Diceros bicornis minor: one gene and its partners. The protein of the gene in region 1 purifies or fractionates together with the protein of each later gene. This does not show direct contact. Links are inferred from orthologs where the notes say so. Each region holds a gene or a part of one and is shown in the gene's direction. Other genes may lie near its edges.

Region 1 (7,841 bases):
TTATAATTATACTGAATATAAATAATGTAAACATTCCCTTTAAAAGACAGACATTATCAGATTGGATTAAAACAGTAAGATCCTACTATATGCTATCTATAAAATCCACATTAAATATCAAGCTATTTATAGGTTAAAAATAAAAGAATAAAAAATTTATACCATATATATTAGTTTCCCAGTGTTGCTGTAATTTGTACCACAAACTGGGTGGTTTATAATAACAGAAATGTATTCTCTCGCAGTTCTGGAAGCTAGACATCTGAAATCAAGGTGTCAGCAGGCTTGTTTCTTCTTGATATTCTGAAGGAGACTCCATTTCATGCCTCTCTCCTAGCTTCTGGTGGTTGCCAGCAATCCCCGATATTTCTTGGCTTGTAGATCCATCGCCCCCATCTCTGTCTCCATCTTCACAGGGCATTCTCCTCTTTGTGTTTTTGTGTGTCCAAATTTCCCTCCTCTCACAGGACATTAGTCATTGGATTAGAGCCCACTCTAATCTGATATCATCTCATTTCAACTTGATCACATCTGCAAAGACCCTATTTCCAAATAAGGACACATTCACAGGTGCCAGGGCTTAGGACTTGGACTTGTCTTTCTAGTGGACACAATTCAACCACAACACCAGGCAAATACTAATTAAAAGAAAGCTGGAGGTTAGCTGTACTAGCAGTAGACACTAGAACAGGGGACATCACCAGGAATAAAAAGGAATATTTAAAATGCTAAGGCAGCCGATTCATCAAAAAGACAAAGCAACCCTAAATGTGTATGCACCTGTTATAGAACTTCAAAGAACATGAAAAAAGTGATAAAACTGAAAGTAGAAATACACAAATCCATCATCAGAACCGGCGATTCCAACATTGCTCTCTCAGCCAACTGACAGAACAAGTGGACAGAAAATCAGTAAGGTTTCAGAAGACTTGAACAAAGCTCTCAATCCACTTGACCCAAGTGACATTTATTGAACACTTCACCCAACAGCAGCAGCACATTTGTCAAGTGTACAAGGAACGTGCACCCAGGTAGATCACACTCTTAGCCATGAAACAAATCTCAATACATTTTAAAAAGGATTGAAATCATACAAAGGTATGTTTCAGTCACAACAGACTTCAACTAGAAAGCAATTTTGGAAACATGTCTGGAAAATCCTCAAACATCTGGAAATTAATAACACATTTCTAAATAATCCATGGGTCTGAGAAAAAATCATAATGGAAGTTAGAAAACACTTGCAACAGAAAATACAACGTATTATAATTTGTGGGATGTAACTAAAGTAGCATGTAGAGGGAAATTTACAGCCTTAATCTCAGGTGGTGTCATTCTGCTCCCTCCATCACACGGTTCCCTATCAACCTCTCATCCACCGGTTGCAGGACCATTGCTTAGATCTTTATTTCACAAGGGTTGCAGAATGCTGCCTCTCCAATTTTATTGATCCTTCTGCATGTATTAGCTAGAATTCTTCAATAAAGAAGGACAATCCCTAATCAACTATTTGGTTACCTTAAAATATAAGGTAAAATAAGAGAGGCAAGATTACTTATTTTTTGCTAGAGTCTTTTGTCTTTACAACAATGAGATAATGTCCCAGCAAGAGTCACCAGTGATGAATGTTTTTTTTTTAACAGCATTATGAACTAATGGATTTAAACATACTTTATTTATGTCAATCATATGCAGTTTTTTATTCTTTTTGAGGCTCAAATTGTTGCAGTGGGGGGCCTCTTAAAGCTGGCTCCTGAGTCCTTCCCCCTCAACAATTTATTATAAAAATTTTCAAACATACACAAAAGTTGAGAGAATTTTACAGTGAAGAGTAAATCTACCACCTAGAATCTATAATTAACATTTTTTTTGACCAACACTACCAATACTACTTACCTTCATCAAACACTTTTTTCAGTTCAGCGTGTATCCTTCTAGGCCTTTTTCTATGTATTTTACTTACGCTATTAGTTAGCTCAGGCTGCTGTAAAAAAAATACCACAGACCGGGCAGCTTAAACAACAGAAATTTCTCTCTCACAGTTCTGGAGGCTGGGAGTTTGAGATCAAGGTGTTGGCAGGTTTGGTTTCTCCTGAGGCCTCTCTCAAGACACGGGCTGGCACTGCCTCCATCTGAAGGCTTGACTGGGGCTGGAGGATCCATTTCCATTTCATATGTCTGGCAGCTCGGTGCTGATGCTGTCTGGGGAGCTCAGTTCCTCCACACTGGGGCGCCTCCACACACTGCATGAGTGTCCTCAGGACAAGGTGGCCAGCTTCTTTCAGACCCAGTGATTCGAGAGAGAGTGAACCGGGAGCAAGCATATCATTTTTATTTTTTATTTTATTTTATTTTATTTTTTGTGAGGAAGATCAGCCCTGAGCTAACATCTGATGCCAATCCTCCTCTTTTTTCTGAGGAAGACTGGCCCTGAGCTAACATCTGTGCCCATGTTCCTCTACTTTATATGGGATGCCGCCACAGCATGGCTCAACAAGCAGTGCGTCGGTGCACGCCTGGGATCCGAGCCGGCGAACCCCGGGCCGCCGCAGCGGAGCACGCGCACCGAACTGCTTGCGCCACCGGGCCGGCCCCAAGCATATCATTTTTAGGACCTGGACTTGGAAGGTACACAGCATCACTTCTGCCACAAGCTATTCATGAGAAGCCAGTGACTAAGTCCACCCACACTTCAGAGGAGCAGGGTTTGGCTTCCCCTTTTGAAAGAAAGCGTGTCAAAGAATTTATGAACCTATCACAGATGCACTTTTACACTCACATCTGTGATGCTTTGATTCCTGAATGTTGCCCCTGCTACACTGCAATTCTAAGACGGCAACAATCATACATGCTGTACTCACCACTGTATCCCCAATGCAGAGCACCTCCCACTTAGGCACTTATAATTTGAGTATCAATTACAGTGCTTCTCAGGCATTTGAGGATAGCGGAACTGCTGATCTTGGTCCTCTCCCTAGAACACTATGAAATATATTTTGAAAATGTACGTTTCTTTTTTTTGCATCATGAGCACAACACAATTTCACCTGCATTAAAGGATACAATTTTCCCCTCACTGGGAAATAGTAATGAGTGGCTACTCTATGCAACACATGCATGCCACAAAAGTCTTTCCTAAGAAACATGCAGCTGGCCAATGAAGGTCAACTATTTTCCAGCTTTTTTTTTTTTTGTGAGGAAGATTGGCCCTGCTCTAACATCTGTGCCCATCTTCCTCTATTTTGTATATGGGACGCTGCCACAGCATGGGGCTTCATGAGAAGTGTGCAGGTCTGCACTCAGGATCTGAACCTGCAAACCCCAGGCTGCCGCAGGGAAGCGCCCGAACTTAACTACTATGCCACCAGGCCAGCCCCTGTTTTCCAGCTTTTCTGTGAATATTTGCTTCTTGTTCATTGATTTGTCACCTTTAGCACCTTCTAGAAGAGAAGGGGTAGCATAGCCCAATGATCTATGAAAACTGCAGATACAACTAGAAATCAAGAGCATAACTTTGACTTCTAGGAGAAATCAGTTTGCCTTGGTGAAGGCGGTCCACAGGCCACGCACACAAAATGAGTTACCCCTCATTTTACAGATGGGATAACTGAGGCAGAGATGCCAGGAGACTTGCCCAAAGTTACACGGCTGAAAAGTAAGATGAGGAGGATTCACACCTAGTATTAGGCAACCTAAGAACCCTAGTTCTTTTTTTTTTTCTCTCTTTCAATTGTGGTAAAATATACATGACATTAAACTTACCATGTTAGCCATTTTTCAGTGTGCAGTGCAGCAGCATTAAGCACATCCACACTGTTGTGCACCATCTCCACCATCCATCTCCAGAATTCGTTCATCTTCCCAAACTGAAACTCTGCACTCATTAAACACTAATTCCCCATTCCCCTCCCCCAGAACCACAACCACCGGCTGCCACCAAAATAGGAGCTACAAACACAGAACACCCTTTTCAGAGCGAAACCCACCCTCCAGCGCCGGCCCCGCCCCCGCGGCTGGCTCCGCCCCGCCCCCACGTGACCCGCGCTCGCTCCAGCGGAGGCCTCCGTGGGCCGAACCACGGCGACCATGAGAACGGGGAGAGGTGGAATTACAGCCGCCACGGTGGGCTTGGGCGTAAGTGATTAAAGCAGCTCTCATTCATTTTCGTATCGTGCCAGGCAATCGTCTTCCTAGTCGTGTTGTCCATCTCCGGCTCAACGGCCGAGAATTCCTTTTATGTTTTGGAAGCGTCCATCCATGTGCCCACTCAGTGGACGAGTCTAAACACCGACACGTGAAGGGGGGACCTAGTAATGTAAGCTAAACTGATGAGAGGCTAAAGATATCACAATAAAAATAGTTGGTTGAACTTACAGTTTCTTGTAGTATTACTTTTTGAGTTACATATTTTCCTGCAGTTCCGTATACCAAGATACCTTCTGCTCCTTCCCTGCGGCGTCACCAATAGTTAAGTCCTTCGCCGCAGCGCCCGACGGGAGAAGGAGGTGCCTGGCTGCCATGTTGGACGGAACCACCCGCTCCCACAAATGGGGGAGCTCGAGCTCCCCATGAGTTTGTAGTTACACCAGAGGCGCTTTGGTGATTGGAGTTTCGCACGTGCTTCTCACACGAGCGTTATCGTAATCATCAGTGGACACAATGCTGCCCTTTTGTTCCTCTGGCCACGCTGTCAGGAGTCAGGGCGTGGGCGGCCCACCCCCGCTCCGAGTCTGATGGAACGCCCCGCGCACGCACATGGCCCGCGGTCGGCGCGCAGTGCGACCTGGGAGAGTCGGAAGCGCGGCGCGGCGGGGCGAGGTGAGGTGGTAGCGGCGGGCCATGCAGGACGCGGAGAACGTGGCCGCGACCGAGGCGGGCGAGCAGCGGGCCGAGCCCGGGCAGCAGCAGCAGCAGCAGCAGCAGCAGCAGCAGCAGCAGCAGCCGGCCTCCGAGCCGCCGCCGGGGGAGGACTCGCCGCGGCCCGCGGGGGCCGGCGCGCAGGAGGCGGCGGGCGGCGAGGACGCAGCGGCGGAGGTTGAGACTGGGCTGGGGCCTGACGTGCGAGCCGAGCCCGCAGCCGACGGGGAGGAAGCGGCCGGCGCGGCTCTCGGGTCGTCTGCGGCGCCGCTCGAGGAGCCCCCCGCCCCCGTCCCGGCCGCGGGCGAGGCGCCGGGGGAGCAGGCCCAGGACGCGGCGGCCGAGGCCGGGTCCGAGGGGGCGGGCGGGGAGCAGGGCGGGGCGGCGGAGGACGCCGGCGCGGACGAGCCTTCCTTCAGCGACCCCGAGGACTTTGTGGACGACGTGAGCGAGGAAGGTGAGGCGGTGTGGCTGTCTGCGCGGAGCTTCCCGAGGCCCCGAACGCGGAACGGGTCACCGCGCATCTTGGAGCCCACCAGGGGCTTTGCCCCGTGGAACTCAGCATGGAGGTCCCCATTCTCCACTCGTCGTCCCTCACGTAGGAAAGGTGTCCTGTGACAGCCTGGGTGCTTTCATTTCTCTCCAAAAAGAAAAGAGGGGACAGGATGGAGACTGCTTGGGGAGCCAGTTATTTGCACTCTAACCGGGAATTCGGGGAGTGGCGACGGCGGACGGCGTGCACGCAGGAGCTGTGGCCGTGTGGGCAGTGGTGTGGCTATTAGGGTCGAGCAAACAGGACACTCCAGTGCTGCACAGTCTCGGGTGACAGTTTTCCCTCAACAGGCCTGGATGCCTCGAATGACAGCCACACCTGTCAAATGTCTGAAAGTGACTTAGTGCCGGCTTCTTAGGGGCAGATGGGACGCTATCCTCAGAATAGGTTATGGCAGAGCTGGTTCCTTTGCCGCTGCCCCACGGAAGCGTTTTCTTCCAGAGAGTTCTTAGTAGGACAGTGCCAGGCCGACTCTGCCAGCCACCTGTTTGGTTATCCCTTTTCCTCAGTGTAGGCAGACGCCATTCTTGTGTTGGCAGATCTCAGGGTTTAGTGTTGTCGACTGTAGCTTGCTTTGCCTTCCTTTCTACATTGATTCAATTTATAGGCAGTACCTCTGCTTCCTGCCTGAGAAAGCCTGTCTTCTAAAGTGACTTTTGGTGATAGCTAATCTCATTTGTTTTTACTCGTGTATGTTTTTTTTTTAGCTATTTGAATTCTGCAAGCTGGGAGCACATCAGTGGGTTCCTTTGTGTATTGACTGTTGTAGTAAAATAGGAAAAATAAATAAAACATCAATGAAATAGCCAGTAATACACCAAGAAAATAAGATGTTACAATATCGAGATGTAGATGTGTTTTTGAGATATTGTGTCTGATCACAGTGAAGTTGAGTCTGAATTATAAAGAATCTCAAGTAAAATGAGAAAGAAAACTTAGGGAACCAACACAGAGTTGTCAACTTTTAATTTAAACATAATTTTAAAGAGCTACCTGTTACTGTCGCTGTTAGCGTACATTATTTCGTAAGACAAAAGATATTTTAGCATGAAAAGCAGGAAAGGCTCCACAAGCTAGTGAAGACTTGAGAGCCACGGACTGGAAGCCCCTCAGCCAAGAGGAAATGTGTTCCTTATGGCGAGGTAGGTTGCTGAGAACTCACAGGGAGGCGGTGTCGCTGGGACACCCCCTCCCCATCCTGCTGCCCAGACCAGCATTCTTTTTTACCGCAGCAATTTATATTGTATTGTAAAATCGAAGTTTTGATGTTAAAGCCTATTTTGAGCTCTTCAGTATTTACTCTGTGATTGATTTTTTTAAAGCATTATTTGAGCACATCTAATTCATACAAGATTTCTAGCATGTGAATTATTTCCAGAATTGGAGTGTGTGGCAGTCAGAGGATGCTGCAATGAGCATAGGCCAGCCAGGCTAGGTGACTGCTGGGAGGGCCTTTGGGAGCCTTTGTGATCCTCATATTTTTACCAGAGTGAGCTGTGAAGCTCCTGGTCCTAAGGAACTAAAACTGAGCAGGCCAGCTGTCAGTTTTCTTGAGGCTACTTGGTTATGGTCAGTAGCTCAAGTACAAATTGTGGGGTGAGAATTGCCCAGTAGGGGGTCAGAGAGCACTGCAGAAGGCAGTAAGGGTTCTTTTGAAAATGGACTGAGTCTCCTGAAAAGCCCTCTCGTGGGTGCAATATAAGCACCACAAAGTCATCTTGCCTCATTCTTTGAGACAGATCAGCACTGATACCAGCTCAACACGAGGTTGACATAAGGGAAGCCATATTGTAACTTTGAATGATCTCTGACTAACTCTGGATTTTATGGCCCCTCCCAGCTGCTATAAATTGATAACTTTGTTCTTTTGAGTTCCTTAGAAATGTGGTGATCCCTGGGCAGAGACTCTGCTGATAGCCATCATCAGTGACAGCTGAAAGATTAGGGTACAGGGCGTTGCTCCAGTCTCTGATGCATATCCAGTAAAACAAAAGACTGCCAGGGACTAAGACCAGATGGATGCCCCCACCCTGAGACCAGATGCCCCGCCTAGAGATCAGAGGGATGTCCCTACCATGAGACCAGATGCCTCCCACACCTGGAGACCAGCCCTCTCTATAACTGGCCTGTAGTCTTTGTTCTGTAAGATGGTGCTTTGAGACATTAGTCAGCCATCTTTTCCCTTGCTAGCAAGCTCTTATAAACTACCCTTTCTCTGCCACCATCTTGCCTCTTGACGATTGGCTTTTGTCTCTCAGTGAGCAGATCGTGCCCTGTGTACAGTAACAAGCACTGTCGCGCAGTTGCATCTCAATTAGTCATCCTTTCAGTTTTTCAACTGCCTTTGGTGCTCCGTCAAACTGATATATGATAAAAGTTTTAACTAAATGTCTTCTGTTTTGGCTCATTAAACATTATTTATATTTGCTAT
Region 2 (7,653 bases), on another chromosome or scaffold:
GTGGTGTCGGCCCACTCAAAGGGTAGATGGTTGCCCCTGGGTCTTGCTCACTGAGCTTGTGATGCAGAGGGTGATTCCTGCCACGGTGAGCACAATGCCTGCGAATGCTCCTGCGGTAATGGGCAGAAATAAGAGGCTCTGAGCCCAGCCATGCCAGCAGGAGCTGGTACAGGGCTGAGGGAAGGGCTTAGATGGGGTGTGTCCCCAGACTGTCCAGGGGAAGGGAACTCTGATGGCCCCAAGGAAGCAGGAGAGCTGCAGAGGAAAGGGGCAGGATCGGAGAAGGTCCTCTCCTCCCCCACCCATGGGACATGGCTTTGAGAAAGAACCAAAACAGGGGTATCAAGGCCCAAGTAGCTGCTTCCCACACTTGCAGTGGCCCGACTTACGTTCTCCACCAATATCTTCTCCAAGGACCTTCCCAACAATCAGTGTGAAGACGATGGCCAGAGAGTTGCTGATGGGCACAGCTAGGGTCAGATCTGAGTGAGCAGAATGAAAAGAATCTCTGAGATGCAAAAATGCCTTTCGAAGCACAAAACACTTTCATTTCATCATCAAGACAGCCTTTTAAAAAACGGTATCTCAGGACTCCATTTCCCAGACGAAGTCACAGCCAAGCTCAGGATTCAAAGCCAGGTCTCCTAACTCCAAATTCCATGTTCCCTCAAGATTCCAGCATGAAAATCTGAACTACAAAGTCTGGAACCACCCTGGTTTGCTGCTAAGGATGAGGTCTTTGCACTCAAAGAGAGCTCCTGAGATCTCAAGCACATCTGGACAGACAGGCACCCAAAGCCCAAAGGATGCAGCAGAATGAGTGCAGTGACACGAAGCACAGCCACTGTTCATACTAAGCACATATTCTGTGCTGGGCGCTTTGTGTCCATGTCTCATTGACTCTTCACAACAACACTGCAAGAACAGCACTGTCATCATTTTGCATCGATAAAGGAAACAAAGGCTCAAAGAAGTCACATAAATTGAGGCAAATTGAGGATTTAAACCAAGGTCTGCCTGACTCCCAAGCCTGTGCCCTTATCGAATTAAATGGATATGGACAAACCAAAAGAGAAGGAGAAGCACAGTTTGTTTCTGTTTCAGCTCAGGCTTGGGCCTTATGGAGTTAAAGACGAAAAAAGAATGTTAGAAGGAGGAGGCCGGGTACCTGTTCAGGACAGGCCCCACAGGGCTGGGCCTTAGGGAGAGGCCACCAGAGCCCAGGATCTGCTCCTTAGTCTTGAAGCTCCGAGTGACTGACTCCCAATAAACAGACTTGAAAAAGACTAACAGACTTAACAACTCTGTTAACTTAAAATGTGTTACACTTAAATTTTATACACTTAAAATTTGTTAAGAGGGTAGATCTCATGTTAAGTGTTCTTACCACACACATACGAAAAAAAAAAAAAAAAACTAATGGATAAATCAGAAGCTGAGTTACTTGTTTACAAAACTCCTAACTGCCAGCGAGACCAGGATGCTCATGTTGGCTCCTCAAGAAGTTCTTTCCCAGCACTCCCAGGCCTCACCTGTTTCAGGTAGTGAGTGGAGGCGAGAATTGTCCCACTCCTCATCCCCTGTGAGGCCCTACCATGGCTGGCATTACCCATCCAAGAAACTGACACAACTCCTACTACTCAGACCTGCTTCCTTAAGCTTACATGCCTTACAACAAATGCCATGGCTGCTAAAGACTGGGTTACAATGGTAGATGGGGGAGGGAAGCAGCATGCTGCACTGGAAGAGCAAGGGCACTGGAGAGGCAGAGCTGGGTGTCCCTGTGTAGTCTCGGTTAGCTCATTCAAACACTCGGAGCCCGCTCCCCACGTGTAAAACAGTGATAGCAAGATAACAGCATCTACTTACAACAGGGTTGTTGCAAGATGAAATATGACAATGCCTGTATAGTCCCTGGCTGAAGTAGATGCTTAATAAATAGTAACCATTGTTCTGATTATTAGAATGGGTGGATGTTAAAGGATAGAGGCAGAGTAGGTGATGAGATAACAGGATCATAAAATTGCCATTTGCCCAAAACTTGGTAAATGGCCAACCGCAGTCAGCTGGCCAGAGGGTTCAGCATTCTTGGGTAGCAGGGAGTGCCCAAGTCTTTCAAACTTTCTTTTTTCTTTTTTTTTGCTGAGGAAGATTAGCCCTGAGCTAACGTCTGTGCCCATCTTCCTCTATTTTGTATGTGGGATGCCGCCACAGCATGGCTTGATGAGTGCTGCATAGGTCTGTGCCCTGGATCCGAACCCACAAACCCCAGGCCACTGAAGCAGAGTGCACGAACTTAACCACTACACCACTGGGCCAGCCCTTAAACTTTCTTTTAAATGAAGTCTTATGAGAAGCCCAAAATGTAAAACAGATGAAAGTGGAGTGACTCTAGTTGAAGCTGACACAGCAGGTCTGGAGACTGGCCTATCCCCTTGCCCACCCATGGCCTGAGAGGTTCCCCAGAGCTATCTGGGGCCCAAACTCCCTTCAAGTCCCCAGAGGGCCTGGGTGAGACTCCAGAGGAGGTGAAGCCACCACAGGGAGACTTCTCATAGCAAAGTTAAAGAGCATAAACTTTAAGTAATACATGGCTTCAAACCCTTCTGCACTGACATGCTGTGGGACTTAAGAGAGATGAAATAAGTTGCCCAAAGTTTTGTAACTTCATCTCCTAAATGGAGATAATCATGTGTCCTTCACAGGGTCACGATGAGAATTAAATAAAATGTGTAAAACTAGCACAGTATCTGATGCAGTAGAGGGCAGTCAACAAACAATGGGGGAAAGGAAATTTATATTTATTGGGCTCCTACAGTGTGCACCAGGTACTCTGCTAGATGCTTCTCATACACTGAATTTAATCCTCTCAATGCTATGAAGCCAGTCGTATAAAACCAAGGTTCACATGAGGGACTTGCTCAAGGTCAAGCAGGTAGCATGCAGTGGAAGCAAGAGCATCAAAGCCAGCCCTTGACACAGCAAAGTGAACCCTCCTTCTTCCTCTGCTGCTGCACAAGACTGCCAGGCTTCAAACCAAGCCTAGTGCCTGGCAGCATACTCACAACCAGCCCCCTGTGCTCCTTCTGCTCAGAGAAGGCGGTGCACAGGGAACCAGAGGCAGTGGGCTCTCCCTCACCCATGGGAACAAGGTGCTTCAGGCTCCCTCCCCAAAGTGACTCTTCCAGGTGGCCTCCACCACTAAGCATAGCAGTTCTAAGCCAGAGACCCACCTGTTGATGCCAAGGTGAGGTAGTAGAGAAGGGAACCACACTGGTTTAGGAAAAACGGCATCAGGTACTGAAAACAGAAGAAATCTGTAGTCAGTGTGATTGCTTGACTGAGCAGCACTGTCTACTTTGAGCTTCTGGATATGCCTTTCCTTGGAGGGAGGGGTAGCTATAAGGGCCCAGGGAGCACTGAGCCTTCTGAAAAGGACCCTTCCAGGGCAGAGGGAAAGTTACTGACTGAACTCCATGCCTTTGTCCTGAATGCCCCCTCCCTCAGCCCTCCTAGTTCCCATACCCCCTATCCTGCAAGTCCCTGAGTGCCAATGTCACTCCCTCCAGGAAGCTTTTCCCAAGTCCCCTAACTCCAGCCTCCCTCCTCTGAACTATCTGTACCTCTCTCATACCCCTTAGCCCTGAGAGGTGGTTGTGTCCATGTCTTGTCTTTTCCACTAGCCTAGACTGGCAGTGTTGGGGTCAGAGGGAGTTCTCCATATCCTTCCTTAAACTCCCTCCCCAGGGCCAGTTTGGGCCCCAAGCCCTCGCTCTGGAAAGGTCTACTGGAGGGATCACAATAATAAAATATTAATAATAGCAGCCATAGGCTGAGCACTACTTATGTACTAGGCCCTGTAACTCACTTCACTTAATCCTCACAACTGCCCTATAAAATGGTTACCATTATAATTCCCATTTTACAGATGATGAAACTGAGTCTCAAGAAGAACAAGTAACTTGTCCATGAGCTTCTAGCGAGTAAGTGGTGGGGTGTAGATTCTAACCCAGACTTGTTTGACTCAGGAGACTAAACTCTTAGCCACTATCCCCGAGAGAGGGGCCATTCACAGACGCACCTCAGTATTCAAGAAGAGAGTCTTCATCTCCTGCAGCAACTGCCGGGCCCAGGTCTGCTCATGAACCTGCTGCAGGCCGGAGGAGGCCCGCTTGAGCAGCGGTTGTGTGCCACCCCACAGAGCGGCCACCAGCACCAAGGCCAGTACCTGCCCTGGATGGAGATGCGAGTGACCCCTCCCTACCCCCAAATGGCCGCCCGCCGGGCCCAGCCCTCATCCGGCCTCCCATCCCGGCCGGCCCTCTCCCGGCCTCCTATGCCCAGCTAGCCTCCCCCACCTCCCTCCTTCGCTCTCCGACGCTGCGGGTGCGATTCGCGGGTAGGACAGACCCCGGAAGGCCGGGGAGATGAATCCAGGAGCCCGGGGCTTGGGGCTGTAGCAAGAGTCGGGGTGAGGTGGAGGTGGAGGTGGACGTGGAGTAGGAAGCGAACTCCAGAGGTGGAAACTGAAGGCCGTAGACGGGCGGTAAGCCATGGTGGGGCGGGGCGCCTTACCCACCGAGAGACGCCGCCATGGCAACGCCGCTCCCTTCCACTTCCGGGAACGAAGGGGCGGGGACCCATAATCCGGAAGCCGCTGCAAAGCCTCTTCCGGTTCTACTCACGTTGCCGCTCTCCTCGCGTCACCGCTGCGATGGTAAGTTCCCCTGAGTTGGAGGTGTTGCCCTGGGGGTCCGGGTCTGGACAGGGGCCGGTTCTGGGCGCTGACTCTCCCGTCCTGTCCCCACAGAAGCCGATCCTTCTCCAGGGCCATGAGCGGTCCATTACGCAGATTAAGTACAACCGCGAGGGAGACCTCCTCTTCACGGTGGCCAAGGACCCTGTGAGCCTCGGCTGGAGGGCGGGCTGGCGGGATCATGCGGAGGGCCTCTGGAGGGGGCGCGTTCATTCTGGAGGGCGATGGGTGGACAAGCGAGTTTTGCCGCAAGAGGGGAACCAAAGAGCGCCCTATTCTGAGAAGTAAGGAGAGACCATCCTGGGGGTAGGTAGGAGAGAGCATTCTACCAGGAAAGGTGGGAAAGAACTCAGTTGTTGGTAGAAAGAGGGAGTAGCCGGGGAGAAGAAAAGCAAGAGACCATTGTGGAAGGAGGACGGGGACAAGGGTCAGCTCGTTCAGGGGACCAGGAGGAGACCACTCTGGGGGAGAACAAAACTATTCTACCTGGAGAGGGGAACAAGCCACCTCTAGAAGGGGAAAGCTGATGTTTGGGTGGTGAGGGACACAGAGGACTTAATAAAGGTGTCCTTGGTCTCATTTCAGTCAGTCCTTCTGGGCCCCATCCTGCCATTCACTGATTGTAAACAGGCCCTCACAGCACCGCCTTTTGAGGCACCTCCCCATGGATGAAGTTAACTCTAATGGTAAAAGTGGGGATGCGGAAGCCAAACGCCTGATTTGAATCCTGACCCCTGCATCCACTAGCAATGTGACTTTGAGTGTGTCATTTAACCTTTCTAAACTTCAAGTTTTGGGGCGGCCCCGTGGCTTAGCAGTTAAGTGCGCGCGCTCCGCTGCTGGCAGCCAGGGTTCGGACCCCGGGCGCGCACCGAGGCACCGCTTCTCCGGCCATGCTGAGGCCGTGTCCCATGTACAGCAACTAGAAGGATGTGCAGCTATGGCATACAACTATCTACTGGGGCTTTGGGGAAAAATAAATAAATAAATAAAATTATAAACTTCAAGTTTCCCTTTTTATAAAATATGGGTACTGATAGTACCTCCTCCATGGCATTGTCTTTAGGATTAAATGAGATCATTCAAGTAAGGAGCTTAGCACCTGGTGCGTATGAGTGCCTAATTAATGTTAGTCACCTATATTTTAAATTCCTTAATCATTTTATTGGAGCCTCACAGCTACCCTTTGAAAATGGCATTATTGTCATGGCTATTTTACAGATAGGCAAACTGAAGTTCAGAGGGGAAAAGCACTGTATCTGAGATAATACAGTGAGATTGTGGCAGAGCAAGGACTCCCCAGGCTTCCCTACTACCAAGTACTCCCACTTGGACAGGACACCAAAGCTACTGTTTTTCTGGACTGGCACTCAACTTGACCTTTTATTCTTCTGAGGGCTTAGGAGTCTGGGGGAGGGCTGGGACAGTGGCAGATGGAGACATTTTTGCAAGCCTCCTGACTCCTCTGCCGCTTACCTGTAGGAAGGAGGAGAATCCAGGAGTTGGTCTTTTTACCAGCAACCTGCTGTTTCCCAAGAGATGAGCAGGAGAGAGCAGAATCTGGCCTGGCTAGAGGCTGGTGAGGGTTCCTGGGGCAAAATAGGAGGCTATTGCTCTGCCTGGGTTGTGTACCATCCTGTCACATTGTCGTTGACCCCTCCAGATTGTCAATGTATGGTACTCCGTGAATGGTGAGAGGCTGGGCACCTACATGGGCCATACTGGAGCTGTGTGGTGTGTGGACGCTGACTGTATCCTTGTCTTGGCCCTGAGTCTATGCTCCCAGGGTCTGCCAGCAATGGAAAAGCTGCTGAGTTGGAGGTTGGGAGTTTGGGATGCTCTTGTGGGTCTAGATAATGAAGCCTCCTACTCCCTTTGTTCACTGATTGGGGGAAGATTCAGGACAAGTTCCAGTTCTAGATGAGGAGGTGAGAAACCTCTGAGGTAAGAGAGAAGAAGAAAAGCTCTTTGGGGCTGAAAAGGGAGATGATTGAGTTGGCTCCCAAGAGGACAAGGGCTCAGGTGAACTCAGTCATGTTTCTTAACACCCTCTTCAGGGGACACCAAGCATGTCCTCACTGGCTCAGCTGACAACAGCTGTCGTCTCTGGGACTGTGAAACAGGTAAGCCTGGGCTATTCACTTTTTCAGCACAGTGGGGACCTACAGTGTACTGTTTAAGTGAACAGGTTCTGGGGAAATAGAAATAAATCCAGAGATGGTTCCTAGCCTAGGGAACAAGAGACAGATAAGAAAATAAGGAAGACAGATGAGAAAAGAGGCACTGCAGGAAGATAATGAGCCATGTGAGAGGAAGCATAGAGCTCGGTGGAAGGCCAGAGAGAAGCGACTGACTGCCTGGCAGGGGGATGGGAGCAGCCCGAAAGGTTTCCCAAGGTAAATGTCATATGAGCTGGGGCTTAAAGGATGAGAAAGAGGTCATCACTTTGGCACATGCAGGAATGAAAGCATGGCAAGTGTCGTGTCCAGGTCATATGATCTGGCAGGAGTTCCCGCTTGAGGGATGAAATAGTCAGTGGAGAAGATGAAGCAGGCTAGGGCCAGAACAGGCCTTGAGTGCCAAACTCAGGAGCTTGGCTTTGTTCTGTAGGACGTGGCATGCTGTGGAGGTTGCTGAGCAGGGAAGAGTGGTGGTCTGTGTTTAGTTTTAGCAAGCTCAGGTAGCAGTGGGGAAAGAACTGCAACTAAAGACGGGGGAGCCTATGAAAGCTGCTCCATATAGTAAATATTTACCGAGTCCCCAATTTTGTGCCAGGTCTAGGCTGGGCGCTGGGGACACAGGGAAATTAGAGCGGGTGTTTGCTGTGAAGGAGCATATTCCGAGGGGGAAACAGGTATATTGCAGTCCACTGTGAGCAGTGCTCCATTAGCACGATG
Region 3 (7,604 bases), on another chromosome or scaffold:
AGAGAAGCTTCAGCCACCCTGGACCACACTGGGCTGGCCCACCCCACATCAGTACCTTTTTCCAAGTTTCCGCTCCCCTCCAAAATCTGCTTGTCTTTGTTTCACAGCTTTTAGATAGTGGTGGGCTTTGTTTGTTTGTTTGTCTTCTTCCAGAGTTTACTGTTGTTATCTACAAAAGGATCAATCCATTGGGAACTTATTTACTATACCAGAAACAGAACCCCTAGATAATCTAGATATATATTTAAAATTAACCTTATACATTCAAAACTGTGATGAAAAGACTTTTATTTTGGAGAAATACACATCTTTAAAGCAGCAATATATTTTGTTTTCCAGTAATGAACACTAAATGAATCCAGGCATATAAGTCAATATACAGTATAACCTCTTGAAAACCTCAATAAATGTAAATTTCTTGAAAGTCTTACTTCAGCACCAGCAAATATGTACCGAGCACCAACAATATTCCAGATGTTAATTCACGGAAGGCATAAACATAATCAACATGGATGCTGCCCTCCAGGAGCTACCAGACCAGGAGGGAAGGCAGTTCAAGGAGGAAGGTGACAAGGGCCGAAAAGAAGGTGTAGGCACAGCGCTGGTGGGGCTCAGAGGAAGAAGCTCAGAAAAAGCTTCCTAGAAAAGGGGAGTTTGAAGAGCCCTTGAAGGATAGATTTTATTGTTGACCCATTCGGCAGTGAAGGAGGACAGAGTACTCCAGGCAGAGCGAAGAGCAAAGGAAAACAAGACTCAAAGTTAGGAAAGCACAAGGTATACATGGCTGGAATGTAGCAGACCAGGGAGGATAGTAGGAAATAAGTGTGGACCAGTAATCTGGGGCTGGATATCCACAGCCTGGAGTATCTGCCTAGGCCACAGAGAGCCATGGAAGGTTTGCCAGCAGGGGAATGTGTTCAGACCTATGCTTTAGGAAATAAATCTGGCAGCTACTTATTACATGTATTGAAGCAGGGAAAGACTACAGGCAGGAAGACTCAGAAGAGTGACGCATGGTCAGGGTGAGAAATGACACGGGAAATGATAGGAAAATGGAAAAGAGGATACGAATATAAGAGACGCTGCAAATGTTAGGCCTTGGCAAGTGATTTTCAATAACCAGTTTCTGACCCACAGAAACTGAGATAACAAATGTCGGTGGTTTTATGCCAGTAAGTTTTAGGGTAATCTGTTATACAGCAGTGGATAATTAACAGTTTATTTCTTCCAGATTTCTTCAGAAAAAATGATACAAAGTACTTGTCATAGACTTATTTTGCGATTTTAAGTTTTCTTTATTTCTATTTATTTATTTATTTTGCTGAGGAAGATTCACCCTGAGCTAACATCTGTTGCCAATCTTCCTCTTTTTTTGCTTGAGGAGGATGAACCCTGAGCTAACATCTGTGCCAGTCTTCCTCTATTTTGCATGTGAGCCGCCGACACAGCATAGCAGCTGACACAGCATGGCCGCCGCCAAGTGGTGTAGGTCTACGCCCAGGAACCCAACCCTCGAACCCAGGCTGCCAAAGTGGAACACGCAAACTTAACTACTAGGCCACAGGGCAGGCCCCAGTTTTCTTTACTTTTGAGAAGTCTCTGGGAAACTGAAAAGAACGTGGACCTGATAAGACAGGCAGCTCTGGGTCTGCAGTTCTGCCACTTGCTGGCTATGTGCACTTGGGAAAGGTACTTACTGTTTCCAAGCCTCAGAGTCATTATCAAAAATAGGATTAATAATATGAACCTTTCACCAACACACCGCTTGGCAAGCCATGCTGTGGCGGTGTCCCATATAAAGTAGAGGAAGACGGGCATGGATGTTAGCCCACGGCCAGTCTTCCTCAGCAAAAAGAAGAGGATTGGCAGATGTTAGCTCAGGGCCGATCTTCCTCACAAAAAAAAAAATTAAAAATAATAATATGAACCTTAGAGGGCCATTGTGAGGACTAAATAAGCTAGTTTGTTTAGTGCTTGGTATGACCCTGGGATATATTAGGTGCTTAGTAACTGAAAGTCTCTACCTACCCCACAGGTCCCTACCTTATCTGGCTCTTCTTTGAACTTTCCGAAATCTACTGTTTCCAATAGTCAATTTTTTTTCTTAATTCTCCTATATCATTCCATTTTAACGATCCAAACCAGAAGAAATACAGAATCTCAGGCCTCGCCCTGATCCTACTGAATTGGAATCTGACTTTTAACAAATTGCCCGGGTGACTTGTAAGCACATTAAAATATGAGAAGCATTGGACTAGTAGCTATCTCAAGTTTCATATGGCTTAAACAGAGCCCACACACTCTCTCCAAACCTGCTCCGCCCCGGGCTTTGCCTTCTGAGTAAACGGCATCACCCAGGTGTTCATGCCAAAACCTGTGCCCTTCACATCTAATCAGTCTCCAAGTCTACTTCCAAAATGTACCTGCATCTCTCTCTTTCCATCTCTACACTCATATCTAAGCCACTATCTCCTCTCACCAGGATTACAGCAGCCAGGGCCAACTTATCCAGTAGGCACAGCAGGCTCAGTACCTAGGCCCCACCATACTTTTAGAGGCCCACAAAAATATTTTAGTTTATTTTAAAATCATAAGAAAAAAATAAACATTTAGGTCAAAGAAAATGGTTTAATGTATCATATTAATACATTTGCGTTTACACCAGCACAATCATAAAATATAATTTTCAATATTGTTTTTATGGAGAAGGGTACAAAAGTCCCTAGAGTCCATGAAAAGTCACAATGGGACCCTGGCAGCAACGAGCTTTTAACTGTCTTTCTCTTCCATTACTGCGTCTGTATAATCCACTCTCCATTCAGTAGCCTGAGTAATCTTCTTGTTTTTAAATTCAAGCATGACTTCTATACAGTAAAGTGCACAAATATTTTTTTTTTTTTTTTTTTTTTTACTTTTCCCCCAAAGCCCCAGTGGATAGCTGTATGTCATAGCTGCATATCCTTCTAGTTGCTGTATGCGGGACGCGGCCTCAGCGTGGCCGGAGAAGCAGTGCGTGGGTGCGCACTCGGGATCGGAACCGGGCCGCCAGCAGCGGAGCGCACGCACTGAACCGCTAAGCCACGGAGCCGGCCCAAGTGCACAAATCTTAAGTGTACTATGTGATGAACTTTTACATAAATATCCACTCATGAAACACATCAAGATACCAAGTAATCCTTTTCAAAATTTTACTTCGTTATGACATTCCCTTGTCTAAAATCCTTTCATGCTTTCCCAACCCACATGGAAGAAATTCCAAACTCCCAAACCTGGTTTAATAGTTCACATGATCCAACCCCTACCTATCGCTCAAGCTTCATCTTGTACCACTCTCCCCCTCCCTCACCATACTCGAGCTACCAGTCCTCTTTTTTTTTTTTTTTTTTGGTGAGGAAGATTGTCCCTGAGCTAACACCTGTGCCCATCTTCCTCTATTTTGCATGTGGGACCCCACCACAGCATTGCTTGATGAGTGCTGTGTAGGTCCGTGCCCCGAGTTCCAGGGGGATCCAGGCCACAAACCCAGGACTGCCTACAAGGAGCACGAGAACTTAACCATTACGCCACCTGGCCGCCTGCTACCATCCTTTAAATCCCTCAACCTGCCAAGATCCTCCGGCCTTGGAGCTTTTAATTGAGTGTGCATCCTCTGCCCTCTCCTAAAGCTCTTCCTAAAGACGTTCACAGGGCTGCCTATTTGTAATTCAGATCTCCATTTACATATTACTTCCACAGAGGCTTTCGCTGACCAGGCAATCAAAAGTTGCATCCAGTCGCCTGTTATCAAATCACCTTGATTACCTGCAGAGTGCTTATCATTTCTAACATTTTATTTATTCACTGCATATTGCCCGTCTTTCCTTCACTGGACTATAGCGTCCTTTGAAGCGGTTTTGTTATCTCTTGTACCCAAAAAGCCAGTATCAGTGCTTGACACAGGGCAGGTGCTCAATGAAAATTTTCACGGCATGAAATACTAATATATGATAAAATGTAGCATTAGCTGGATAGCTGTGAAATACGGGCCTGAGTCTGACTAAAGCTAGTCATTGAAAAGAAAGATTAAACGAGGTAAAAGCTGACGGCAATTAAGTGTTCAGTATTTGTTACTTACTTATTCCTTCTAAACATGCCCAATTAAAATGATCCTTAAGCAGGATATTGCGCTTGTTTTGCACGAAAAGTGATTTTAAAAGAAACTTAGTAAATAAACCACAGATGTTTTTACACATGGGAAGAAGAAAAAAAAGGAAGAAAGAAACTCAGAATCTTCCCTTCCAGAGAATCAACCGCAGCACACCCGTTCCAGGTTCCAGCCGCTGCATTCTGACCCCGAGCAATAGAACCAGCGAGCACCACCCCGCCCCTTCCGCCCACCCCTCGGCCGGAAGTCTGAGAATCAGAGACCCCGCCCCGGGCTCAGAGCTGCCCCCTCGGCCGCGCGTAGCCATACGTAAAGCGTGGGGGTTTCGCGACAGCCCAGGCCCCACCCCTTTGGCCACATGTCACGCAGGTCTTCCCCGTCGGACGCCGCGCCACCTCCTCGCGCTGCTTTACGAACCCAGAGCAGCGCCGCCCCGCCCCTCCCAGTTTCGCGTCTCCTAGCCCGACGGGCCCGCTATAATCACGTGATCGCCTCATCCGGGTCCTTTGCGTTCTCTCTCCCTCTCTCAACATGGCGGCCTCAGGTGAGTGAGCGGCCGAGCGCGGCCAAGGACCGGGCTCCGAAGCCACTCTCCGAGCGTGATCCAGTGGTTCCTTGGAGTTGGAGAGCGGGCGGCACCGCTTCCCTTCGGGTTTTGGGGCTGCGGCAGGCTGGCGGCTTGGCCGTGTTAGGTTATCGCCTCGGGATGTTTTGGGGGGAGAGGAAGGACACCTTCCCCTCTCCCTCACACCCTTTTCACCCCGTGTGCGCAAGGTTGGAGTGGGGAGTAATGATGGGCTCTGGCTAGAGTTGGAGTGAGCAGGAGGCGCAGAGAGATCTGTGGGAGGCGTGAGGCCTTCTCACACACGGGCAGCCCTGTGCCCGCGGGAAGGCGTGGAGAAAGGGAGGAGGCGGTTGGCGCGCGGACGGGTGCACACCAGACCAGGTCTCCGAGGCGCGAGGCCGTTGCGGACGCGAGGGGGGGCTGGGGAATAAAGGGGGGGGCAGTTAGAACGCGAGCGCGAGTCGGCGGAGGGGCGGGGGAAGGTGGCGATGCGCGTGCGCGGTAGGAGAGGCCAGGGTAGTGGAGACAGGCGCGCCTTAAAAGCACGCGCGAGAGCCCAGATGGGGAGGTGTTCCGCGCCTGTTTTGCTTTCCTTTGTGTCCTTCCACTTTCTGCTCTTCCCCTTTTAGAGGTGGCTTGGTCCCTATGTTCTCCCGAGGGTAAATGTGTTAAGTTTGGAGGTTGAAGCTACTGGAGTTAGGTGGGGGTAGGGAACCCAGTGCGGTGCGCCCACGTGTTGGCGGAGAGGAAGCAAGGGTGGAGACCCAGATTTCTTGTAGGCTTTTTTTCTTATTCAATCAACACATACTTACTGAACGAAAACTATATGCCAGGCACGGTTCTAGGTGTTGGAGATGCAATGGGGAACAAGATCAAATCCCTTGACAGCTTCCATTTTGGTTGAATTTTGATAGCTCCAGTGGTAGAGTTCAGCTCTCTCTTTTTTTAGATAGCTGCACAACTACTACAGAGTGCTTTTAAAATAATACTAGTGGCTAGAGTTGGTTTCCTTTTTAGACTTCTTCGGGAGAGGGAATGTCACTGTCAGGCAAATCTATTTGCATTTCTAATAGGCTTACCAGTGAGCTGTGCAACGATTTCGTAGCATTGGTTTTAGTTTTGGGGATATAGTTTCTTTTTCCTCGCATGACCCTGCATTCTACAAAACATTTATTGAACCCTGCTATCTCTGGACACTCACTTCTAACCAAGAATGTATCTTCTCTGTTATTACATAGGAAACTAAGGATTACGTATGTCTTTGGAAAATGTTGAGGAAATTGAGGTGTATTTGAGCTTAATTCCCTTCATTGGCATAGCACTTGACAATTGACCAAGCACTTTTATATGTATTGTCTTATTTGATTCTCTTATTTGATTGTCTGTGAGATAATGTAGGCAGATGGTGGTATCTCCCAGCTGAGGAAGATGAAATTTTGTTCAAGGTCAAACTGCTTGCCAGTCGAAATTTTTGAGACTCTTGACTCTTCTACATTATCAACTTGGAAATGACAAAGTTGGCTTCCATGTCATCATAAATTTGGGATGCTCCCTGAAAGCTTCATCTGAAGTAGAGTACTTACTTGGCCTGGATTTGCCATCTTGATGGCTTAGTGTCATAATTTAGTGAAAAGCCTATATTCCCTTTCTCCATAACTTTTGTGGAATTTTTAGAGGTGGAAGATAATGTTAGCAATCCGTGTCCTTCATTTTACGGAGTTGAGTGAAATTTGCACTGGTTAAAGTGGTTTGCTTAGTCTTTGTCCCCTTCACCTGTTCTTCGATGTTTACCCTACACCCTTGGAAGCCCTCATGTCCTTTAAGTTGGTTCCATAAATCTTTCTGGCTTGTGTACTATGTGTAAGGGAACTACGCTAGTGTCTGAGCAGAAGGTTACATCTGACGGTCTGCCCTTGAGGAACTTGGGGTTTATCAAATTTCTTTCCTTACTTTGAATCTTCCAATTGCATTGATTTTGTCAAGTGACCAGTATTCACAGATGTGGCTGTATTGATGAGACTATAAAATTCTCAGTGTATTTTCAGTATACTACTTGATAATGCTCAGTGTCTTGTTGAAAATAGACCTTATATGTTCTCAGTGAAAGTACATGATAAAATTTCATAGGCCTCTTCTACTGTTAAATGACACCAAAAAATTCTTTGCAGCAATACCAGTCAGTATCCATTATGACCCATTATTGACCTTCAAGAACTGAAAGTGTCCCAGATTTGACTATTGAATCTGCTCTCCTTACCTAAAAGGAATCGAATGTGCTTGATACAGGTTAACATTTTTTGAGACTAAAAAGCTTTAAAATTGGAAATAGTGTATGTATGCCCACACAAGGCCTTCATTTGCATAGCGCTTCAAAATGCCATTGCATGTGGCATCTTGTTTTATGGGGAGAGGATGGTGTCCAATGGTTGTTTTCATAAAATGCTGACCCTTATAGTTAAAAATCACTTCAGTGGTTGCCATTATATACTGTTCACATGTTACCTATTTTCAAATCCCATCCCCTACTAATATTTGTTATTCTAGGAGTAAGATACCCAGATTCAGAAGGCCAAGACTTAAAACTCCTTATAAAAATTCAAGGACAGGGGCTGGCCCTGTGGCGTAGCAGTTGAAGTGCCCGTGCTCTGCTGCTGGCGGCCCGGGTTCGGATCCCGGGCGCACACCGAGGCACCGCTTGTCAGGCCATGCTGTGGCAGCGTCCCATATAAAGTGGAGGAAGATGGGCATGGATGTTAGCCCAGGGCCAATGCTATAGGAGCCAATCTCTGCATAACTGCTTTCTTTCAAAGCATAGAGTAGGTCTAGAATATAATCTGGTTGGTCATGAATGATAACTTTTGGAGTAGGATTAGTGTTAAGTCACTTGGGAAAAAC
Region 4 (7,676 bases), on another chromosome or scaffold:
TGCTGCTTTCAATATTTTTTCTTTGGTTTTCAGAAGTTTGACTCTAATATGTCTTGGTGTGAATTTCTTTGGATGTATCCTGTTTGGAGTTTGCTCAAGCTTCTTGAATCTGTAGGTTATGACTTTTCTCCTATTTGGGAAGGTTTCAGTTATTATTTCTTCAGATACCTTTTAATCCCTGCTGTCTTTCTTTGCTCTTCGTGAGACTTCCACGACAGGATTATTACATTTTTTTCTTATAGTTCCAAAGTTCCCCAAGGCTCTGTTCATTTTTTTTTTAGTCTACTTTTTTTATATTGTGGTAACATATACATAAAATAAAATTTAACATTTAAACCCTTTTTGAATGTACAACTCAGCGCCATTAAGTGCATTCACATTGTTGTGCAAACACTAAGACTGTCCATCTTCAAAACTTTTCCATCATCCAAATCGAAACTCTATACCCATTAAACAATAACTCCCTGTTCCTGCCTCCCCCGAGGTCCTGGTAACCACTATTTTACTTTCTCTCTCTACAAATTTGATTATTCTAAGTACTTCATATAAGTGGAATCGTACAATATTTGTTCTTTTGTGTCTGGCTTATTTCATTTAACATCATGTTTTCAAAGTTCATCCATGTTGTAGCATATATCAGACTTTCATTTCTTTTTAAGGTTGAATAATATGTATATACTACATTTCATTTATTCATTCATCTGTTGAAGGACATTTGAGTTGTTTCCACCTTTTGGCTATTATGAGTAATGTTGCTGTGAAAATTGGTGTACAAATATCTGTTTGAGTCCCCACTTTCAAAACTTTTGGGTATATACCTAGATGTGGACTTGCTGGATCATTTGGTAATTATATGTTTAATTTTTTGAGGAACTGCCATACTCTTTCCGACAGCAGCTGTACCATTTTATATTCTGTTAATCTGTGTACAGAATGGGTACTTCTTATGTTCCATCTGCAGTCCACTGACTTTTTTCCTTTGTCCTTTCTATTCTGCTGTTTAGCCCATCTGTTGGGTCATTTATTTATTTAATTTATTTTTTTGCTGAGGAAGATTCACCCTGAGCTAACATCTGTTGCCAGTCTCCCCGCATTTTGTATGTGGGCCACTGCCACAGCATGGCCACTGATCAGTGGCGTAGGTCTGTGCCTGGGAACCGAACCTGAGCCACCGAAGCACAGCATGCTGAACTTAACCACTAGGCCCCTGGGGCTGGCCCAAGTTTTTAATTTTTTTATATTTATTTATTTATTTATTTACTTATTTTGTGAGGAAGATCAGCCCTGAGCTAACGTCCGTTGCCAATCCTCCTCTTTTTGCTAAGGAAGATTGGCCCTGGGCTAACATCCGTGCCCATCTTCCTCTACTTTATATGGGACGCCACCACAGCATGGCTTGACAAGCAGTGCGTCAGTGTGCGCCCGGGATCTGAACCTGCAAACCCCAGGCTGCTGAAGCGGAGCACGTGCACTTAACTGCTTACGCCACTGGGCTGGCCCCCCAAGTTTTTTATTTTTTATTGTGGTATTTTTTAAGTTCTGAGTTTCCATTTGGTTCTTATTTATATCTTCTCTCTCTTGGCTGAGACTTTGAATTTCTTTGCTGAAACTTTTTAAAAATTTGTTTCAAGTTTGTTTGTAATTGTTCATTGAAACATTGTATGATGGCTGCTTTAAAATCTTTGTCAGATAATTCTAACATCTCTATCATCTCAGTGTTGGCATCTATTGATTGTCTTTTTTCATTCAGTTTGAGATCTTTCTGTTTCTTGATGAGATGATGAGTGATTTTTTAATTGAAACATAGAGGTTTGGGTATTTTGCTATGGAACTCTGGATCTTGAGACCTTCTGTTTTAGCTGGCTTCCTCTGACACAGCTCTAGCAATGGAATGAGAGGTGATTCCTTCTTGCTACTGCCCCTTGAGGGTACAAATAGAAGTTCCACATTCAGCCTCCATTGATTCCCTCAGGGATGGAATACAATTCCTTGGGAATTAAATACATAATCAGAGTTCCAGCTTCCACTAGGCCTCCACTGATACCTCCTGGATGGGAGGGGGATGAGGGCCTCATTATTGCACTCCTTGTTACCTTCACTGACACCACCGAGTGTGTGGCCTCATAACCATTGTGGTGAAATCCTGACTCCCCACTAGGCCTTCTCTCACATCATTCCATTGGTGGAGTGGATGGGTGCCTCATTACTGTCCAGCAAAGGTGGAAGTTCAGTCTCCTCACTTGGTCTCCACTGACAGAGCGCAGTGAATAGACTTTTGTTAGAGCTTTTTTGGTCTGTGCCTAATGGTGTTCCAGGTTGCTGGACGTCAGCTTCCGCTGGACTTCAGCTCCAAGTCTGGGGTATATATGGATACATACAGAAACCTGGGAAACCACCAGTGTGTTTTTCCTTGGGTCCCAACATGCCTAGCCAGTATTCCTTCTTCTCTACACCTTTCAGAGTCTTCTTTTGTTTGCTTTATAAATCAGGGGTTTAGTGGTACTTTCTGGGAGGAATAGGGAAAAATATTTCTACTTCATCTTCCCAGAAGAAGTCTGGATTTTGAATATACTTTTAAGATGGAGCGTATAGGATGGATCAGCATAGGATATGAGGGAAACAGAGGAGTCAGAGATGACTCCAAGGGTTTTGGTCTTATCAACTAGAAGAATAGAGCTGTCATCAAACGAGATAGAGAAGACTGGGGGAAGAACATTTTTTGGGAAGGAGGGGTGGTATTTGAACTCAGTTTTGGAAAGCTTAAGTTGGAAGTGCCTGCTGGACATTTAAGTGGAGACGCTGAATAAGCATTGGACATGCTGGTGTGGAGTTCAGTGGAGAGGTCTGAACCTCTGAGATATACATTTGGGAATCATCAGCCTATGCACGGTCTTTAGGGCCTTGAGAGTGGATGAGATCACCATGATAGGGAGTAAAGATAAGGGAATGAAGATGTACAAGGACTGCACTCTAGCGCTGTTAATATTTAAATGTTGGAGAAGGGTTGAGAAATCAGCAATGGTGACTGAGAAGAAAGGAGCAGCCAGTGAGACAGAAAGGAAACAAGGAATCCAAGTGAGGGAAGTGTCATTGCTTCTAGGCCCTTTCTAGTTAGGGTGATCATATTGATTTCCTATTTCAAATGCTACTTCATGAGTCTTCTATCTCCCTCTCTCTCTCTCTTTCTCTCTCTGTATTTCTACCTCTTGGCTCTGGGATGCTTCATGCAGAGGGCCCACATGCACTATCTTGGTTCAGATTAAAAGAACTCCTGTAATGTGATTAGTTCACATGACTGAAAAATCATAGTAGAGTATTTCTAAGGACAAAAAATTGCCAAGATATTTTAAACTTTACTTAGTAGTTTTATTAGTGGTAATGTTGGCATTGTAATTTTGAAACAAAACTATATTATATATGTTGTAGGACAAAGCAATTAGTAAATTTATTATTGTTTGTAAGTAACCTAGGTGTTTTCTGATGCTCATCATTCCAGCTACCCAATGATAGGCCTCCAGCTCTGGTTCTCACAGGAGGGATTTTCATTCTTCTTCTTTTTGGTTATCTTCCTATTACTGATTTGTGGTAAAATTCTACTACAATCAACCTTCAATACTTCTAAATTTGTGGAGTCTTTACTGTGGCCCAGGATGTGGTCTATTTTGATATATATTCATGTGCACTGGAAAAGAACGGATATTAACCTTTTATTTTGTATCATTAGGAATTTGTCAGGTGTAACTCTTTCTGTTCCCAGATCATGATACAACACAGGACACCACCGACAAAAACAACAGAAAACTTCAGAGCCGGATATGCCCTTCCTTGGTGTAACCACTTCGTCAGTTCTGCATAGATATTTATTGAATGAGTAAACGTTTCAAAAGTGAAGAATAGAGAAAATGTCATTTGGAAGCAGAGAAAGAATGTTTTAAATCCCTTATTTAAAATGGTTTTCTAAAGCTAAGTATTCTTTTAAAGACTTGAAACATATATTTCAGAGAACCTACATCATAACTCAGTGTGATTTTTAGGGAATACGTTCTGCATCATCCTTCAACACTTTACATAAAATGACTTCTTTGGTACTTTACTCAGGTAAATCCTACATGAACCTAATAGCAAGAAAGGGCTATTAGTTCTGGGGATGCTTATTAAAGTTCCCATGTTTTAATTAATTTCTGTGTAATCTGTCTCTAAAGACCGCTAACTAAAATTACATAAGACAAACTGCAATATCAGATCGCCACTACTGAACAGAATGACGTTGGACAATTCACGTCACAGTTTCCTAACACGTGTAATGGAAATTAGTACAGCCCTTCGTAGTTTACAAGATTTTTTTAATAAAAAAAAAATTAGAAGTGAAAGCATTTTTACGCATGAGACGCTAGAGAAATACGAGCTATAATGCTATTATGATAACTGGCTAACGGACACTGACTAAACATAAAATAGAAAACATTTTAAAAAGTCTACTTTTTCTTAAGACATTCAACGGGGGACCAGTCGCAAGCGCACACTGCGCATGCGCAAAGGATTCCTTCGGCGACGTAGGCTAGGCTAGAAAAAAGAAGGGAGGCGGGGCTCCAAGTCATCCTTTCCTTTCAGCTCAGCCCCTCGATCGCCGGGCGGCGCTTGTCGTCAAGCGACGTTGTACTTCCGCTTCCGGTTACTCACGTTTCTCTCTCTTCCTGTCCGGCTGGAAAGATGGCGTCCCGCAAGGAAGGCACCGGCTCTGCTGCCACCTCTTCCAGCTCCGCCACCGGCGCGGCGGGGAAAGGCAAAGGCAAAGGCGGCTCCGGAGATTCGGCCGTGAAGCAAGTGCAGATAGATGGCTTGGTGAGTGGAGTTCTGTCTCCCCAGGCCCACGTGGGGAGCGCAGTTCCCAGCCCAGTCCCGCTATCCGCGCTTCCAGCCAGCTTTTTCTCTGGGCTTAGTGAGGCTGGGCCAAGGTTTTCCCCTAAAATTCTCCTCTTTCATCTTCACATTTTGTTCGGGTGACGTGACAGCCTTCGCTGCCTTCGGGGTGGGGGGTGAGGGCTGAGAAAGGGGATCGGGGCTGGGGTTGTGACAGATTCTTGGGATCTTGTTTTGAGATGCTTGGGAGAGGGGCTTTGGAGAAAGACTTCTGGAGACAAGTAGGTGACGGAGGTGAAGGGAAGAATCTAGGGTTCGAGTTTAGGGCTTTTGCGAGGGGAGAGTAAGGGAAACTTTATTGCTTCTCTGCTGGAATCTGACATTTCGAACTTCCCAAATGGAGATTTACTTTGTAGCCACTCTTGAGGCTGTGTGTCAGCGCTACACGTGAAACCGCATGATTGCAGTGAACGTCTTTTATGTTGGTTTCTCCTTTCCGTGTGTGTGAATGTTGGCGTGCCCAAGGATTTGGCTTTCTGCTTCCTTGTGTCTAGTCTCTGCTTGACATAGCGCAACAAAGTATAAAAGCACACCTCTGGAGCCAGAGTGCATGGTTTGAATCTCAGCTCTCAAATTAGCTGAATGACGTTGGGCGAGTTACTTATTCTCTTTGTACATTCTTTTCTTCATCTGAATTGTTTTGAGGATTAAAATTGGCTGAATATGTGTCAATAACTAGAACAACGTCTGAGACATAGTAAGCTACCGTTTTATCTTAGCTGTTGTTACTGTGTGTAGTAGTTATCGGAGTAGTCTTTAAGGTATTCTCGTCCCTTCTGGTGGCTTTAAATATTATTTATATTCTCATAACTCCTAGATTTATACTTTTGGCCAGACTTGGCTCTTGAATGCTGCTCTTGAGTACCCAGCTGCCTGCTTGACATCACTATTTGGCTATTTTACGGGCACCTTAATTACAAATTGAACATGTCTAAAATAAAATTACTGACTTCTCCCCCTCATTCCTCTCTGCCCCTCATTGGTCTTACCTCAGTCTTTCCTGTCTTAGTAAGTGGAACTACCATCTATCCATTTGAACAAGTTCGAAAACCTAGGTATTAACCTACAGTTGTTCTTGTTTTTTATCCTCAACATCCAGTCCCTCAGCAAATCCTGTCGGTTCCACCTCCAAAATATATCAAATTTAGCTGCTTCGCATTTATATGCCACCTGCTATGTCCACTTCAGTAAAATAGAGACTTCTTACCACAGTTTAAGGTCCTGCTACTCTTGTCTCTTTCTCCAAACTCACTTCATGCTTCTTTCTAGGCTCCAGTCACAATGACCTTTCAGTTCTTTGTTTTCTCTGCCTGAAATACTCTCTCAAATATTTTTTCCTTCTCAGTGGCTTCTTTTGATCTTTTAAGTCTCGGCTTGAATGCCACCATCTCAAGAAAGACCTTGCCTAACAACCTTCTTAAAAGTAGACCCCTTGCCACCACTCTCCATTACACCACCCTATATTTCCTTCATAGCATTTTTCACTGCCTTTAACTGTCTTGTTTGTTTTCTTGTTTTTCTCCCCCACCAGGATGTAAGCTACTGAGGGCAGGCAGGGACTATGCTTTTTCACCTGTTATATTCCATACTGAACCCGTTAACTGACATAGGATAAATGAACGAATAACATTTCATTTTATTTTTGTACTGTTCCTAGTTCATGTCTTGGTATCTTCTTTTATAGATTATTCTAATGGCATTTTGTGTTGTTCTCTTAGCTCTCTTCAGTCCATCTTTCATACTTTTATTAAAACATTCACTTAATATGAAAGTTCAGATCTTGTCAGCTTCCTTCCTGACGTGTTTTCAGTGAGTTTGCGATGAATTCAAGGCCCACCAAGATGTTGTCTTTGCTTTTGTGTTTAGGTTTATTTCCTACTATTTCCAACTTTCATAGGAACTGTACATTCCAGCCGCACAGGACTGTTTGGTTAGCCTGATGTTTAATCACATTTGTTCCTGGCACCTTGATAGTGGCCAGGACCAATTTTTCTTCTTGTATTCTTGAACTTTTCCTTTCCTACCTTTGGCCCTGTTTCATCAATTCTTCTGTATCTTTAATATTACCTTTTTCTTAATATATAAACATTGTCAGGACTTTCCCATGTTAAAATGTTCAGCTCTGTCTCTTTTTGCTTAGCATTCTGTGTTCCGTTCTTAGTCTCCATTTTTTCCCTTTTGAAGTCAATGTTTAGAGAATCATCTATGTTTGTGGTCTTCCATTTTTCCTTTAAGTCACTGCTGTTAGAATCTGCCACCACCAGCTCCCTGACTTAGTTTTTAAAAAGATCATTGATAGCATTAGCAAAGAACTGTAAAAAGTATCAAAATGTATATGCAAAATAGTGTCTATAATGCATAATTTAAATAACCACAAGATAAACATCCAATTACCTGCCGTTCAACTTGAGAAACAGAACATTACGAATATCTTTGAAGCCCTTTCCACCATTTCATTTTTTCCTCCCATCCTTTCTCCCTACCATATTCTCACTACTGTGAGCTTTGTTTCAGTCATTTTTCTGGTTTTCTTTATAGTTTCACCACAGAGTATTCCTAAACAGTTTGTTTATCTTTGCCTGTTTATATTAATAAATGTGAATGAAATTTGAATTAAATCATAGTATATGTTCTCCTGTGTCTTAAGTTATATATATATATGCATATCTCACACTGTGATTTTGCAGTTAGTTTGTTCTAGAGTGAGTAGCTGTAATTTGTTTTTCATTTATTTTCATTACTATATAGCGCTTCGT

Evidence for each region.
Region 2: the proteins of EIF3B (region 1) and EIF3I purify together in Homo sapiens (affinity purification with mass spectrometry; 12 studies listed by BioGRID and IntAct, counting the BioPlex papers as one, with this or other methods). This does not show direct contact. The link is inferred for Diceros bicornis minor from reciprocal best matches to the Homo sapiens genes EIF3B and EIF3I.
Region 3: the proteins of EIF3B (region 1) and EIF4B purify together in Homo sapiens (affinity purification with mass spectrometry; 3 studies listed by BioGRID and IntAct, with this or other methods). This does not show direct contact. The link is inferred for Diceros bicornis minor from reciprocal best matches to the Homo sapiens genes EIF3B and EIF4B.
Region 4: the proteins of EIF3B (region 1) and EIF3H purify together in Homo sapiens (affinity purification with mass spectrometry; 10 studies listed by BioGRID and IntAct, counting the BioPlex papers as one, with this or other methods). This does not show direct contact. The link is inferred for Diceros bicornis minor from reciprocal best matches to the Homo sapiens genes EIF3B and EIF3H.

Annotation. Positions count from the first base shown.
Region 1 is NC_080765.1:12,217,433-12,225,273, reverse strand, and holds the start of EIF3B (eukaryotic translation initiation factor 3 subunit B), read left to right. Parts: upstream 1-4,823; 5' UTR 4,824-4,839; coding exon 4,840-5,314; intron 5,315-7,841.
Region 2 is NC_080752.1:47,009,189-47,016,841, forward strand, and holds the start of EIF3I (eukaryotic translation initiation factor 3 subunit I), read left to right. Parts: upstream 1-4,644; 5' UTR 4,645-4,685; coding exon of another isoform or gene 4,686-4,714; coding exon 4,715-4,717; coding exon of another isoform or gene 4,718-4,810; coding exon 4,811-4,903; intron 4,904-6,419; coding exon 6,420-6,507; intron 6,508-6,813; coding exon 6,814-6,879; intron 6,880-7,653. Other genes in the region: TMEM234 (transmembrane protein 234), read right to left, coding at 16-110, 390-482, 3,234-3,300, 4,082-4,233, 4,686-4,845. UniProt on the Homo sapiens protein: Component of the eukaryotic translation initiation factor 3 (eIF-3) complex, which is required for several steps in the initiation of protein synthesis.
Region 3 is NC_080756.1:17,197,990-17,205,593, reverse strand, and holds the start of EIF4B (eukaryotic translation initiation factor 4B), read left to right. Parts: upstream 1-4,604; 5' UTR 4,605-4,675; coding exon 4,676-4,688; intron 4,689-7,604. UniProt on the Homo sapiens protein: Required for the binding of mRNA to ribosomes. Functions in close association with EIF4-F and EIF4-A. Binds near the 5'-terminal cap of mRNA in presence of EIF-4F and ATP.
Region 4 is NC_080760.1:33,255,599-33,263,274, reverse strand, and holds the start of EIF3H (eukaryotic translation initiation factor 3 subunit H), read left to right. Parts: upstream 1-4,673; 5' UTR 4,674-4,710; coding exon 4,711-4,842; intron 4,843-7,676.